Styela clava: one gene and its partner. The protein of the gene in region 2 purifies or fractionates together with the protein of the main gene of each other region. This does not show direct contact. Links are inferred from orthologs where the notes say so. Each region holds a gene or a part of one and is shown on either strand. Other genes may lie near its edges.

Evidence for each region.
Region 1: the proteins of uncharacterized protein LOC120338787 (region 2) and eukaryotic translation initiation factor 3 subunit A-like purify together in Homo sapiens (co-immunoprecipitation; 3 studies listed by BioGRID and IntAct, with this or other methods). This does not show direct contact. The link is inferred for Styela clava from reciprocal best matches to the Homo sapiens genes EIF4B and EIF3A.

The regions. Positions count from the first base shown.
Region 1 is NC_135253.1:8,116,513-8,124,208, forward strand, and holds the start of eukaryotic translation initiation factor 3 subunit A-like, read left to right. Parts: upstream 1-4,693; 5' UTR 4,694-4,772; coding exon 4,773-7,696. UniProt on the Homo sapiens protein: RNA-binding component of the eukaryotic translation initiation factor 3 (eIF-3) complex, which is required for several steps in the initiation of protein synthesis.
Region 2 is NC_135258.1:23,452,112-23,460,178, reverse strand, and holds the start of uncharacterized protein LOC120338787, read left to right. Parts: upstream 1-5,022; 5' UTR 5,023-5,037; coding exon 5,038-5,104; intron 5,105-8,067. UniProt on the Homo sapiens protein: Required for the binding of mRNA to ribosomes. Functions in close association with EIF4-F and EIF4-A. Binds near the 5'-terminal cap of mRNA in presence of EIF-4F and ATP.

The DNA of each region.
Region 1 (7,696 bases), on a different chromosome or scaffold from region 2:
TCGTAATCGACCAGCGGTCGTGTGAACCACCCTCGTTGGGAGGAGAGCTGCAATCCTCTTGCACATAACTATCCCCGCATGGGATTGGAACCTGTGAAACTACCAGGGTGATCAGAGATGCGGTGGCGAGCGTATTCCTAGATGGCGAATTCAATTGAATTCTGGTTATTTTTGCATGAGCGCTGGCGTTAAACTTTAGTCATTTATTCAACTTTTTACACTTACTAATAGATTACCTGCTTACTAGATCTTTTGAAAACAGTGGAATATAACTGAAGATCCATTTCGTTGCCTATACTTTACGTACAGCCAACGGAACAATACGAAATAACCATTTTCAACAGCCAAACAAAACGGAAACGTATAATCTGAATTGCAACTGACAGGAGCCAAATAGACGTTTTTGTTTTTTTGCCGTCCAGTAAACAAAGTCACGTGACCCGTGCAAGTCCTCTATATTAAACTGGTTTATATGTCTCAAAAAATCATTTTAATTCAGTACTGATAAAAAAGTTTAGCCTAGATAGTCTATCACAGCATTTTCTAGTAATGCTTTAATTTTTTCATTAGTCATCGCAACCATGGGTTAAACAGAATTAAATTAATATAGTAAGGCATTTCAAAGGCTGGCATCATTCATTGTGTTGAATTTTTGCGCAACATCCCAGTAAAAAATCGATACTTATAACTATCATGACCAAAATTATTTGCGAGAAATGTATAAAATATTTTTTCTAATAAACCAACTTGTTTTTTTCCGGGTATCGTAATTTGTAACAAAGCGCACGATTTTATTTAACCTATTTAATATCAGACTGTGGTTGGATTATGCGAGACGCGTGACAAGAAGACAAATGTTTTCTACTAATTAAACTTAAGTCTTATTTTCATATTTTCAGCCATACACTTCAACCAGGAATGGACAATACCGAATAAATCGCTATTTCGAATATTAGTAAAAATTTATTTATTTTGTAAATACAAAAATGCAAATCAAAAATTAATTATAATAACAAACAATCGAAGTGCCGAAACCAACCGAAAAGGTATTCGAATATTCGATTCGTTTTAAACAACCCTGATTAGATATCGTTTATTACTCAAAATTAGATACTCAATTACTAGTAGCAAACGATCTTTTTCAAAGCTGAAACAGAGAAAAACATATATTTTTGAGATCTTCGATGTTAAATCAGCGCCTGCCAAATTTACCTTTTGATTGAAAAGAAATTCCTGACGAGTGAGCTGGAGGAGGCTGTCGTTCAAACATTTGTTGAGTGTTGGCAGCTAAGTAGTAATTAGACATAAAAATAAGTGACTTGCTTTTTGTTAATAAATGAGTTCGATCTTATACATGTGAGTTTGTTGCTTAGTTTGATGATTCACGTATAATGACATCTATAATCTGTTGTCTGTCTATAATCTGAATTATATTTTAAGTCAGGGATGTATATATGCTCATTGGGGATGAGGAGCATCATTATCCGTTGGGATTTGTTCAAAATAAATTGCTTTAAATCAAATTTTTTTTTTGCCCGTGTCGTTAAAAATTGCTGTAATGTTTGATTTTTTTTGTATTTAAATAGGTCAAATTAAAACAAGGAAAATGTATGTAACTTGCCAATTGCTACTGATTTGCAATAAACCTTTCCAAACACCACAAATATTTTTTCCCCCTTTTTTTTCTTGCAAAGTTTGGCACACCCCCAGCAAGGAGACAACAGTCTATCGTTCTAAAGGCACGGACCTAATCAATGGACGTACATCGATCGTTCCTTCTTCCATCCACGTCTATGCGATAAGAGTCGGTCCGTAAGTAGTTTAATTTTTCACATACTAAAAATACAAAATGTACGTACATTTATTCCGCCGGAAAAAATATGTGAATTCTATCCAACGACTAACATACCTATTCTATCCTAATTAATAATTGGCGATCTCAGTGATGCACAGTCGTTGGTCATGCATATTTCGTGCCCGAGCATCTACTCGTATACGCCATCTGATGGCTGGCGACAATATGGTGCAGTGACGAAAGATTCCACGAGCTTACACATGGAAGGAAATCCGCGTGTTCGCCTTGCAACTTTCATCAACTTTTGGTTTTATTAAAATACCTGTTTTACTTTTACCCCTGTTAGTTTACCAGTATACAATTAAAATTGGATAATGGTTCGGATTTATTGCTTCGAGGGTTTAGTCAACTAATCTAATTTTGGTCATCGCATTTTTTTCTTGGCAAGTTTCCTGAAATTCAGTCCTGTTTATGTCTTTGGTTTTTCAGAATACTGGAATTTGTTTGCAAAAAATATTGTCAGGCTGATACTACCCTATTTCTGTATTTATTGGTTATTTCAGTATTTAGGTGTAGATTGGTATCAGAATTTCGGTAGATTTGTCGGGTCTCATGTAGTTTCTTACCTAACATACCGGTACTTCTAGTGGGCTTAGCATGACAATTTATTCACGTATCAATTCTAACCCCCACCTGACTACACCATCCAAAAATTACGTCATTACGACGTCACAGTGACGTAATAGAGCCCTTCAAACTATACGAACTGCCATCCAAGACGCGCAAACGAGCACCCGAAATCGAACAGTTATTTCTCTCGTTTTCTCGTCGCAACGATTCCAATAGGAGAGAGACCGATAACGTCAGTCAGTTCTTTATCGTCGGCGCCAATGCCATTTCGGTCGATCGTGCGTATATTTAGCAAGCTCTATGACGTGATTGTGATGTCGTAGTGATTTAATTTTTGGCGTAATCAGATGGGGGTTAGGATTGACATATCAAAAAATTGTTATGCTACGCCTACTAGAAGTACGTTAGGTACGAAACTACACGAGACCCAATTTGTCAAAGTGCAGAAGTGTGAATTGGTCATTCGATTGACTATTTTACAATCTGAATTAAACTATGTTTGCTTCAGTACTGACAATGTTAAACATTTGACAATATTGATATTCAGATATAGGCCTAGGTTTCAACAATTCTTCACCTGAAAGAACTGAAGACCTGATATTTTACAATTTAGTTGCAAAGTATTACACTGAAATGTGATAGCAACTTTGAAATTGATTGATTTTAAAATTTACTTGCAAAGTATTGCACTGAAATATGATAGCAACTTTGAAATTGATTGATTTTAAAATTTACATGCAAAGTATTACACTGAAATACGGTAGCAACTTTGAAATTGATTGGAATGAAAAAAGCATCCTATTTTTGAGAAATCGGGGTATCTTGAATTATGTTTAATTCTATTGAGCTGGAAGTTCTGTATACAGATGTATGTCATCATTATTATCAATACACCAATATCTGAATATGTTCAGATGTTGCATCATGAATTGAAAACATCGATAGACTATTTGTCAGTAGCCTATTTGGCTACAGGAGTGGTGACTCCTCTACGGCCCATGGGCCGGGGCCAGGACCCATCTAATTGGGCCACATAGGCCGTGGCCCATAGCTTGATGGGCCGCAGCCCCATCAGGAAAAATTCAATTATCTTAACAAAATTTTCAATTTTTACCAAATTGTCAATATTCAAACCAAAAAAATATACTCCTGTAGTATGTGTTCCAGGTTAGGGTTAGGACAGAAAAAATTCAGATTTTTTACATTATAGTTCTATTATGAGTTCGGGGACTGTCTGTGTTAGCCAAGTGAATAGTTTCTTTACACAACTTGATGGGCCGCGGCCCATAGCCTGATGGGCCGAGGCCCAATTCGATGGACCGTGGCCCCGGCCCATGGGCCGCAGAGGAGTCACCACTTCCACTCCTATTTGGAGTATTGAAATACAGAAATAGTCTACTCAGCTACCAACTTTAAATTCATATGGCAGTGTCACATGAAATGAATTCTACCTTATCTAGACCAGGGGTGTGCAACATTTTTTTGTCGGTGGGCCGTATATCCAACTTCAAACATCTTGCTGGTCTACATACCGCTGTATAGTGATGAAGACACTGCGTAAAATAGCGAAAAGAAAACCATTGTGTATTTTTACCCATGTTTTTAAACATAAACTGTCGATTAGGACTGGGAAAAAATGTGAATGTTGACAAGGGCCGCCTGTTGTAGACCCCTGATGGGGGCCACAAAATTATTTTTGCATTATTCACGCGCCACAATATTGCCTAGAATAGATGAACAGCGTGATATGGAACAAACACTTTTATTGTGCAAACACATTCGATCATTATTTTTCATCGATCAATCTTCCTATATGAACATTTAGTATTAGATTTTATTTTCTTCATAATGGAGAAAGACTTTTTGCAAATATAAGTGCTTTCGAACACAGATAAGATGCTGAAAGCAAAATCCCCTTGGAAAATAGTCATTGCTCACAAGATTTCAAAATGCCATTTTAGATCATATACTTTATATTCAAGCATTGTGGTATTATCCCTCACTTATCTGGTTAAAAATCGTTTTGAATTGGTCAGCTTTATTTTAAAACTCATGTTGACAAATAACTTAATTCAAAATGATCACGGCCGATTGCTGGATTGATTCCTAAATTTGCCAATTGTGAGGTACAGGAGGTAATTACTGAATTTGTTGATGAAACAGCACCAAGAATATTTTCTAATAACAATAGAATTCAAACCACATTACTCGAAATGAAAATTACCAAAGGTGGTACTGCTTTCTAGTTTACATTTTTAATGCATGTCATATGATGTTTATATTTTACAGTTAACAACATCTGATTTAGCATATTTGTCCTTATTAAGTTTTCCGCAGTTTGTCGGAGATGCCAGAGTATTTTCAACGACCTGAAAATGCTCTTAAGAGAGCGCAAGAATTTCTTGAGGTTGGAAAGCTAAAACCAGCCTTAGATGTTCTCAGTGATGTGCTGCGAAGCAAGAAGCATCGAACCTGGCAGAAGATTCATGAGCAAATCATTAGACAATATCTAAACCTTTGTGTGGACCTCCGAAAGAGCCAGGCGGCCAAAGAAGGATTGTATCAGTATAAAATAATTTGCCAGCAAGTCAACATCAACTCTCTTGAAAATGCTGTGAAGAATTATCTCAAGTTAGCTGAAGAGAAGACTGAAGAGGCAAAGGATAAATCAACTGAGACCGCTTTGCAAATGGTTGAAGATCTTGATATGATTGATTCGCCAGAAGGTGTTTTGCTTAGTGCTGTTACTGGTGAGAAAACCCATGATCGAACCAACCGTCTCATGTTGACACCTTGGGTCAAGTTTTTGTGGGAAAGCTATCGCCAATGCTTGGATCTGCTGAGAAATAATAACAGAGTCGAGAAATTGTATCAAGATATTGCTCTAAATGCATTTGAATTCTGTTTGAAGTATGATCGTCGTACAGAATTTCGAAAGCTTTGCGACAATCTTAGAAACCATGTGAAATTGAGTGAGCAGCGTCACCAAACAGCAGTATCTATCAATCTCACCAATGTGGAAAGCCAGTTGTTGCACCTTGGCACAAGGATTGCACAGCTTGATAGTGCTATTAAGATCGAGCTATGGCAAGAAGCATTCAAGGCTGTGGAGGATATCCATTATCTGATGTCACTTTCGAAAAAACCACCAAAGCCCCAAGTTTTGGTGAATTTTCATTCAAAGTTGTCTCTGGTCTTTTGGAAAGCTGGCAACATGCTTTTCCATGCAAGTTCAAGGCACCATTTGTTTCGACTCACCAAAGAGATGAAAAAGAACCCAACTAAGGATGATTTGTCTAGAATGGCTTCTCTCATGCTTGTTTCCACATTAGCTATCCCAATCACTGAGCAGAAACATGGAATTGGTAAAATGCTTGATATGGAAAGTGCTTTGATTGACAAGCACTTAAAGTTGGCAAAGCTTCTTGGGCTCAGCAGACCACCAACTCGTTCAAGCTTGATTGAGGATCTCAAGAAACACAACATATTGCAATACACACCTAAACAGCTGAGAGATCTCTTCCAATGGCTTGAGGTTGATTTCCATCCACTTCGTCTCAGTGCACGTGTTGGACAGTCATTGCAATGGATACGTGAGCAAACAAGAGAACCAGAGCTTGCACAATATATCACTGCTTTGGAGGGAAATGTTGTCTCTCGTGTTCTGCAACAAGTTGCCAATGTCTATCAAACCATTGAGCTATCTCATCTTTTGAGTCTTCTTCCGTTTTGTTCTGCTTTTCAGTTGGAGCGTGCTATTATTGATGCATCTCGCAATGGTCAGATTCAAGTTCGCATTGATCATAGTAAGGGTGCAATCAGGTTTGGCACTGACTTGAATGCTTCTCCACTTTATGTAGAGGATGAATTCTTTGAACCGCAACGCCTGCAACCTCTGCCAAGCGAAAAAATTTCTCAACAATTCAACGAAATGGCTCAATCACTTCATGTTGCTTACAGGAAACTTCAACCACAGGCAGAAGTGGATAAGATGCTCCAGAGGAAAAATGAAATTCTGAACCTCTACACAAAAACTTGGAGGAAAGATCAGCAAAATATATTGCAGAGACGACAAGTTATTGAAATGCGCAAAGAACAGCTTGAAGAATTCAGTAGAGAACGGGAGAAGCAAGAGCAAAAGGCTGCCAAAGAGCAAGAAGAAGCTGTTAAAGCAGCTGAACAAGAACGACTCACGAAGGAAATGAGAGAACGGGAAGAAATGCGTCGCCGCGAGGAAAAGGAAGATGAAGAACGTCGGGTGGCACAGGATCGCCTTGAAATGATTCGAAAGAGTGAACTTGGAGCAAAAATGCTTAAGGACATTGATGTGGACACTTTCACAAAAATTGATCCAGATGAATTAATGAAAAGACAAATGGAAACCATGGAAAGAGAAAAGAAGGATATGCAAGATAGACTGAAAGCTCAAGAGAAGAAAGTGGATTACTTTGAGAGAGCCAAACGTCTTGAAGAGATCCCGCTGATGAAAGAAAAATATGAAAAGAAACGTGAGACTGATGCCATACTATGGGAGGAACTAGAAGCAGAGCGCATTGAAAGAACCAAGGTTGAACAGATCATCACAAATCAAACCAAAGAGAGATTGTCAAGGATGAAAGAGGATCGAAATATATATTTACAGAGTCTGAGAGAATCAAGAAGAGCAATCTTTGATAAAAAGCATTCAGAATTCGAAAAAATGCTTTTCGAAGTTCGCGAAGAACGACTCGCTGAAAGAAAACAAGAGAGAAAAGAGCAACGTCGTCAAAAGTGGCTCAAAGACAAGGCAGAATATGAACAAAGAATACTTGATGAGCAGTTGAAGAGAGAGCGCGAAGAAAAAGAGCGTGCTGAACGTGAAAAACAAGAAGAAGAGACACGTGCATATGAAGAGAAGATGCAAGCACTTAAGATCGCTGAGGAGAAGCGACTGCAAAGAGAACGTGAGATTGAAGCTAAGATTGCTGCCCAACAGAATCCGAATGCCTATAGACCAAGAGGTGAAAGAGATGGCCCACCAGCACGCAGAGATGATGATAGAGGTGCCTGGAGAGGACCTGGCGGTGGGGGTTCACGTTTTAAAGATGATGCACCAGATGATAACCCCTGGAGAAGAGATGGACCACCTGCCGAAAAACAAGCGTGGCGCCCTAGTCGACGAGATGGGCCGCCTCGTGATTTCGACTTTCCTTCAAGGATTCGAACGGATGGTCCAAGAGATAGAGGTTGGGAAGATAGAGGTCCACCAAAAAGAAGAGATGATGACCAACC
Region 2 (8,067 bases):
TTAGGCCGCGAGCCGAGGCCATTTATCTTTCAGTTTCGTAGCGCACATAAGGTAACTACCTGAAAATGATTTTAAAATGTTCCGTAGAAATTTAGTAACAAATATTGCCTTGTTCCCACTATCAAAAGTTGCACGTTTTACAGAAAAGACGCTTTTACTACAATGAATATGTGTTACCATTTGTCCTATTTTCTCTGCTTTTCCGGTATCATGGGCCAATGAACGCAGACTTCTGCATGACGTAACAATCAAATTAGTCAGCTGTAGGTGGATCCCCAGTGGTCGGATGAATATCAGATGTACTACTACTGCTCGCTTTTGCGTTGAGTAGTTTTCCATAGTTTTTTCAGTTATTATTAGTTCAGTTATTCTAAGGACGTGTTGAAAAGTATAAGTAAGATATTAAACACTTGTATATCCTTACCATAAATAGCAATTTTAGTTGAGCACTAGCTCATAAGACGTTGTTAAATAGGTACGGTGCGGTAACTCCGAGGAGGGCTAGACCTAAAATAATATGTCACAAACAACGATATTTTCTGGCTTGCATGAAATGTTTGTGATTAATTTAATGACTCTTCTTGACTATTCAGCAGACTTATACTACTATATAGGCCACAGCATATTTGGAAATATAAATTAATGGCTATTTCTGTAATGCACGTTTGTGTGAAAGAGAAGAAAATAATCAATTTTACCAATGTCGGTTGGTCTAAATCTGAATTCATAGAGTCGACAAGAACCTGGGAAGCAATGATAAGTTATGCAGGAGTGGGAAGAAAGTAGCACTGGAAACGATTGAGAGGTGAGAAATCAATTGTATTGTATTGTAGACAGACAGTTGATGTTTTAAAATATAGTCTGTGGTCCATACTCATACTGTCATAGAGCATTTCAGACTGTGATATATCAAAATTTAGTGTAGATATAGTCTAGTAATGATATGCAAACACTGCTGGACTGTAGTACATGCAATGAGCATATATACGCTCATTGAGTACATTAGATAAAATGCATTATGTATTCAAGGTATTAGTTAGTATTTAGTGGTATTTTTACACTCATGCTGTTCCAAATATGATTTTCTTCCTCATTTTAGATACTGTACCACAAAAAAAGAAAACGGCAATGTTCCACCAATCCGACCTAACGCAGGCTCTAATCCTTGCTGCTATCAGTGCTATAAAATGGATTAAACAAGAAGTCTTGAAGCGTAAAGGTATATGAGAATCATAATAGTTGCAAACAGCTTAGATGGCCTATTCATATTGAAATACTATAGCACTTTTCTGCAATTGGAACTGCCCATCAAACTCATGTTGGAGACTTCGTTGAGGTTTTCAATTCATTTTTCTCAACTATGAAGATCTTTTGAGGATAACGAGGCATTAATAAATAAAGCTGAGGAATTTGTTTGTTCACTGTATGAAGAGGATATGAAGAATGTAAATGATACCAGGGCACGTCTATTTAACAATGGCAAACATAAGGATTATACTCTTCCCACCCAACAATAATTCACTGAAGAAGCATGTGGCCCTCAAATCAGTTCTTGATTTGGCAAACTGCAAGTGTAAGAAAAATGATCAAAATAATTTATGCAAGTGTGCCAAAATCAACTTAAATTGCACAGATTTTTGTTTTTGTATTGACTGCAAAAATCACAGTACACTCATAGAAGAAAAGTCGATTTTCGAGATAGTGGATTTCGAAAACAATTCAGAAGGAAGTGAATTAGATGTTGCAATTGATTTAATAAGTATCATTTATTTGTTTTTTTTTCGGACATTCGTTAGTGTCGTAGTCCTGTTTCTAGAAATAATATTGCCTTTGTTCAAATACATAACCACTTAAACTAAAAAAGACCAATTGTAATATTTCTGTTCACTATGTTATGTACATTCATTTAATTTTCTTGACTTTTCCGGTAAATTTTTAAGTGAGAAGTAACTGATTTATTTGTGTTTTCGTGCTCACGATGTTAATTTGTGAATTCCTTGCTTAAAATAATTACGTTTGATAGCTTCTATAAAATGGATGTAGCTTTTTATGCTGTTCTTGTTGTAAACTGCTTGTGGTTATTACATAAAATTTATTCGCTAATGTGAATCAACGTTGTTGGTGTCGCTGCTTTCGAGGTCACTCGCGACTCCTGTCACACAATTAAAGTATTTTGTTGTCGATTACATGTATGCCATATTTTTCGTAATCTACCTAATAAATTATGATTGACTGAGGAAGTCCGATTTTGGTCAGGGAAAACATTACAGGAATACATCTGCGTTAGTGTGCTGTAGGGCTGTCGAATTACATAGTTCTTATGTATGTGTTGTAAACTGATGGTTATTGAATTTCCGGGAACCTCTTATATTCAATTTCGCATCAGGATTGTGCAACAAGCTGTAATGCTTTCAGTATGCTCATTTTCACACAAAACTGAAGAATTTATTTAGTTACCAGATGTGCGCTACGAAACTCATTTTCTGGGCGTTTTCAAGGCTTCGTCTCACGGTTCATATCCGTGGTAAGAATCTACAAGTGTTTAATTAATAACTCACTTGTACATTTTTCAACAATGTCTTAGAATAACTTAACTAATAATAACTAAACAGTGCTATGGAAAGGCTGCCCAACTCAACGCAAGGTCGAGCAGTAATAACTGATATTCATCCGCTCGCTAACAGCTGATTCGATTCAATTGTTACGTTATGCAGAAGTTATTGTTCATTGCCGAAAATGTAGAGAATATAGCACAGATCGTAGCACATATTTCTTGTAGTAAAAGCGTCTTTTCCGTGAAACGTGCAACTTTTGGAAAAGGGAACAAGGCAATATTCGTTACTAAATTTTTAAGGAACATTTTAAAATCATTTTCAGGTAGTTACCTGATGTGCGCTACGAAACTCACTTTCTAGGCGTTTTTCAGGGCCTCGGCTCGCGGCCTATATGATCCCAACTAAGTGATTTAAACCTGCGATCGTTAAACAGCTGAATAAAAAAAACGATGCTCAATAATTTGGACCAAACTTTCGCAGCGGCAAAACGAATGAACATTCTTCTGAAAAATTAACTGTCCGCAGATGTTTCTCGGATAACTCGGCTCGGCGGTATGGTCAGCATATACGAAGTTAAGGTTAAAGTCATCCAACTTCACTCGATAAATCAACACCCAATAAGACCTAAATATTAAACGAAAGATACACATTTTATTATAAAATTAATATAAAATTCCTGATGTAAGTATCGCTACTTGCACAAAACCTATTTTAACAAACTGACAGAACTACAATATAAATTATACTACAGAAACTTGCACTATTTTTGCGGTTACATGTCATGATATTAATGTATGCGTATCGCAAATTTTCAACAAGGTGTACTTTGCCAAAATAATATTAAAAAAATATACTACATGCATGGAATGAAGGATAACGGCGTATATCAAGTTTACAAGAACATCTAATAATTTGGAGTGTATAAAATAGTATATTAGCTATATATCTGACTTGAGCTCTTGCCGCAGGTCTACTAGCATACCGTTTTTCAATAATTTTATTTGTCTCCTCTTTCGCGTGAATATTTAACCTTAAATTAAGAAAACGTTTCAAAGTTTTAAAAGCGATATTGTGGCAAGATGGGAAATTATATTTCAAGCAACTTTATTTGTCAGAAAAGTAACAGGCGAACATATATTATGAAAGGCATTATTATTGGCGCGAAATATAGTTTATGCTTCTTGCAAAAAGACGATTGCTTTTTTGGATGGGTGGCATAAATATTGGGTAAAACTATCAATTTTCAAATATTTATCATGTGTGTAAGACCTAAAAAGATCTAGTAACGATTGTGGGCATTCATCGGGATTGACACTTTCCCTAGAAACAAACAAACAATTCGAAGCCCGTGTCTCTATGGGGTTCCCCCGGAAACATCAAGGCTATTTTTTCACTGTTGGATATCGATAAAATTACGATCAAGTTCTATCAACGAGAACGTAGAAGACATGATGGCGTCGCTAGATCACCTAGTAAATATTTTACATTTTCCGACGCAAAAGAATCGAAATATCCTGCCAATAATAGGTTGATAAGAGCTGCAACACCAGTCGCGGCGGCTGGTTTTTAAATTTTGTACCTTATAATGTACATGCTTCGATGAAATTCATTAGGCCGCACAATGTGCTAGCCATGAGATCGTTTACATTCTATAATTTTTGGAGCAACTGTTGCAACAGCTCGTTGAATTAAGAAAAATTTTCCCGAGAAAATTCATTTCATCGGTTTCTGGAATGATTAATGTGAAACACAGGCTTCAAACTTTCGGCATGGTGTGAACAGGTATCATAATACCAGTTCAAATAGTAGGCCTACCTGATTTAAACGTATGCATTAGGTTAATGACGTTTCACACTTGCGAAGGAAAGCGATAAGTGTTTTTGATACGGAACGTTGCTACGTAATTGCGTAACGAAGTAATTAGGGAACGTTGTTGTTTAACTCAAGTTGGCGCAGTGGACATGACAAGAATTGGAGAACATTGAATGGAATAACTTATACAATTTTACTGGTGCACGATAAATTCTATCTAATTTCGAAAGCTATTTTTAACCTCCGCAAATGTGTCGATGTCATATTAGGTTAAAAAAGGAACAAATCGAAGTTTTTGTTATTTAATTTGAAAGCTTTTCAAAAAAAAATCCACGCTTTTCAATTTTTGTATGATAATCTCTACATTTTATCTCCATCTCATAATTAGTCTCTTAGATTGTCTCTCAAACAATATAAAACTTATCTGCATATAATATAAGGTTCGTGAGATATGAGGTTTTAAAGTTGCATAACTCACACGAGATGATAAGATAACTATCGTAACTTTCACGACCAGTATGATTCCACGAGGCAAATAGCAAAAGAAAAATAATGAAATTACCCGAATAAAATGCAAACCAGGGTAAAATTTTGCACTCGGTGTCTCCGCACTTGGTTTATAGTCACTTTGCTTCACAGTGGTGTGAGCACGTTGGTGTTAGGCACAAACATGTTTGGAACTCCGAAAATGGCCATCTGGCTGGGTTTTCGACAAACATCTAAAGCTCATCTCTCAGGTCACCTGCATTTTGTTTGTTGTTGTTTTCGGTTTCGAGGACTCCCGGCTAAATCTGGGATGCTTTCTCTAATCTGATTCAATAACATTTTCAAAATGACTGCTTGGCTTGGGTACCGTAACAGTACCGATAACAGAGGTACAGTACCGCCACCACAGGGGTACCGTACCGTGCGTATCATATCGTAGCCTAGTCATTAAAATATAGGCATAACGGTAATTATCTCCTATTACGGTACCGGTATGTTACAGTGTTAGGCTGTTAGGAGAGTAGGACGAGTTATACATCAGCATCTGAGCATACCTGTACCTCAGTAGGGTACTGGCGCGGCGGTGTGGCTCAACGGGCTAAGCGTTAGGAATACGCTCGCCACCGCACCTCTAATTACTCTGCGTGGTTTCGAATCCCATGCAGGGATGGTTATGTGCGAGAGGATTGCTGGACTCCTCACTGTCGTTGGGTGGTTCACGTAACCGCTGGTCGGTTACGGCTTTCTCCACCACCAAGTCCATGCTTCCGAAAAACAAACAATATAACTAATCCTGTAATCCCATACCCGACTTGGTAACCGGACGAGAGGCCATGGTTCGCCATATGGATAAGCCGTCTTATCGGCTTTCCTCTCCCCCGGGATAAATATGTAAATCCTACTGACTGACTGATGGGTATTTGTTTTCAATAGTGTTTCAGAATATACCGTACTGTACTTTTTAAAGTGTTGTGACAGTGTGATGCGGCTGTCAGTACAGCATCCGATTCCGGATTTGCGGCTGTATTCTGAAACATCGAAGAAATGCATGTGTGTCTCTGAAACCAGGGACTTCGAGCCGACTGGAAGCTCGATGCGTGAGCAGTCTGATGTCTTGAATGCCCCAGTCCAGCAGTCTGGATTTCATGATCTTTTCCAACAAGAAATTGGGGGTGCAATCAGAAATTCCATTCCATATACGCTATGACATAATTCATCCAAAATTAATAGGCTTCTGGTCCGAGATATGATGAATGCACATGCAAAATTTGGAGCAGATTTACCTCGCTTTTGCGAGATATCGCTTGTATCTAACAGACAAATACCTATCAACATACTTCTGTACTTACCGATCAAGATCGATAAGTTATAAGGTCTTTTTTGCTATGCATTTTTCAATTAGGCCAAATCTTGGAAGCTAGAGTATAGTCAACAGTTGTGGAGCTACAATTCTGCAATTTGTCGGCATCTTTCTATTACTGGAGCGCTAGTGCCCTCGGCCTTGCACCTGCCATGGAATCCAGTCTGGTGAATTTCTCAATGTGGCATTGAATTGAGTTATTCTCGTATAACAGTATAAATTACGCAAGTTGAACATTTGTGGCAAATGAATGCTTCGATGCAGCATTGGAATAAATGATTCTGCTAATTTGATTCTCGTTTTCTTCGATCTATTCTTGTATAAATCATAAAGTTGAACATTTGCGGCATAGGAATGCCTCGTTGTGGCATTGGCTCAAGTTATTGTTTTTATAAATTAAATCATCTAATGCCTCATCGGGTTATTAAGTTTACTGTTTTAGTCTAGATTGTTGGTGTCCAAATTCAAATAAAGTATGATATCATATATGTTGTTATCAAAATGTGATTTTCATGTATTATCGTCAACACGCCATCATATAGTGTGCCATCCTGGATTACAGGATTATCAAATAGCCTATGTTTCAAATTGGGCATATTTTTAACCGCCAATGAATGTCCACTCAATGAGTTAGTACAGGGTGGTCCAAACTATGGCACACACCGACCGGTCTTACTACTTACTGAATACAGCGCGAAACACCACAAAGAGCGCGAAACAGCGGAAAACAGAGGGAAACAGCGCTAAACAGTGGGGAAACAGCGCGAAAGAGCGCAAAACAGAGGGAAACAGTGTGAAGCAGAAAAAAATTTTGCAATGAGTTCGAGGCACCTTGTTTTGAGTTGGAGTACCACGGCAGCAAATTAAAAACACAAACCAACGTATGTAGCCAGTAATGCTGTAATGGCAGGTCTGCCCCTGCTGGTGACACATTTTAGGTACCATAATTAGAACATTTTCCATATGGATATGGTTGACTTTGGGGTTAGGGTTAGGTAAAAAGGGTCCTCCAGAAGTATGTGCACCAAGATGGCGCACAACCTGAAAATAGTATGTGTGTGTGTGTGTAGCGGATTCAGGTTGTGCGACATATTGTTGCACATACTTCTGGAGCACCAAAAAGGTAGATAAAATTTCGCATGATGACCTATAATCCGGTACATAACCTTGTAAATATACCGGAAATAGCGCCATAAAACCATGGCGAGAAGCGCCGTGGTTCTTTCGTGGCAGGAGGTGGTAATGACTGCGTCTCCTGTTTTGCGCTGTTTCCCTCTGTTTTGCGCTGGTTTCGCGCTGTTTCGCGCTGTTTTGCATTCTTTGCGGTGTTTCGCGCTGTATTCAGTAAGTAGTAAGACCCCACACCGACGCATGCGGCCCGCTGAACAATTTTAGCGTACACCAAACCATTGGCAGATATTTGTATTTATTAGCAAAATATTTTTTTATCTATTACAACTGGGATTGGGATCTTGAGATTTAAGTCTTTATCACAATTCCGATGTCAGGAATGATATTTGTTAAAATCACATAATTTCAAGGTTGGCATTACAAATATGCAGACAGTACCCAGAAATTCGATGACACATGCATTTAGGGACTAAAACTAGTTTTAAATCTTTTTTGACATCTCTGCCTATATTCAGACATTGCATAGTTTCGGCAGTGTTCAGTAGGGCACAGTTCTCTGATTTTTGGCTAGAAACTCTAAAGAGCTGCGGTAATTTTTTTCCTTTGGTAAATCAGATTATTTTTTTCTGAGGAATCCCTTGGGCTTCCTTTTAATTCATTGTGCAGTGCCAGTTTTGAATTATTGTCGATTATGGAGGCCCAAATTGTCTCGTAATAGAGGGG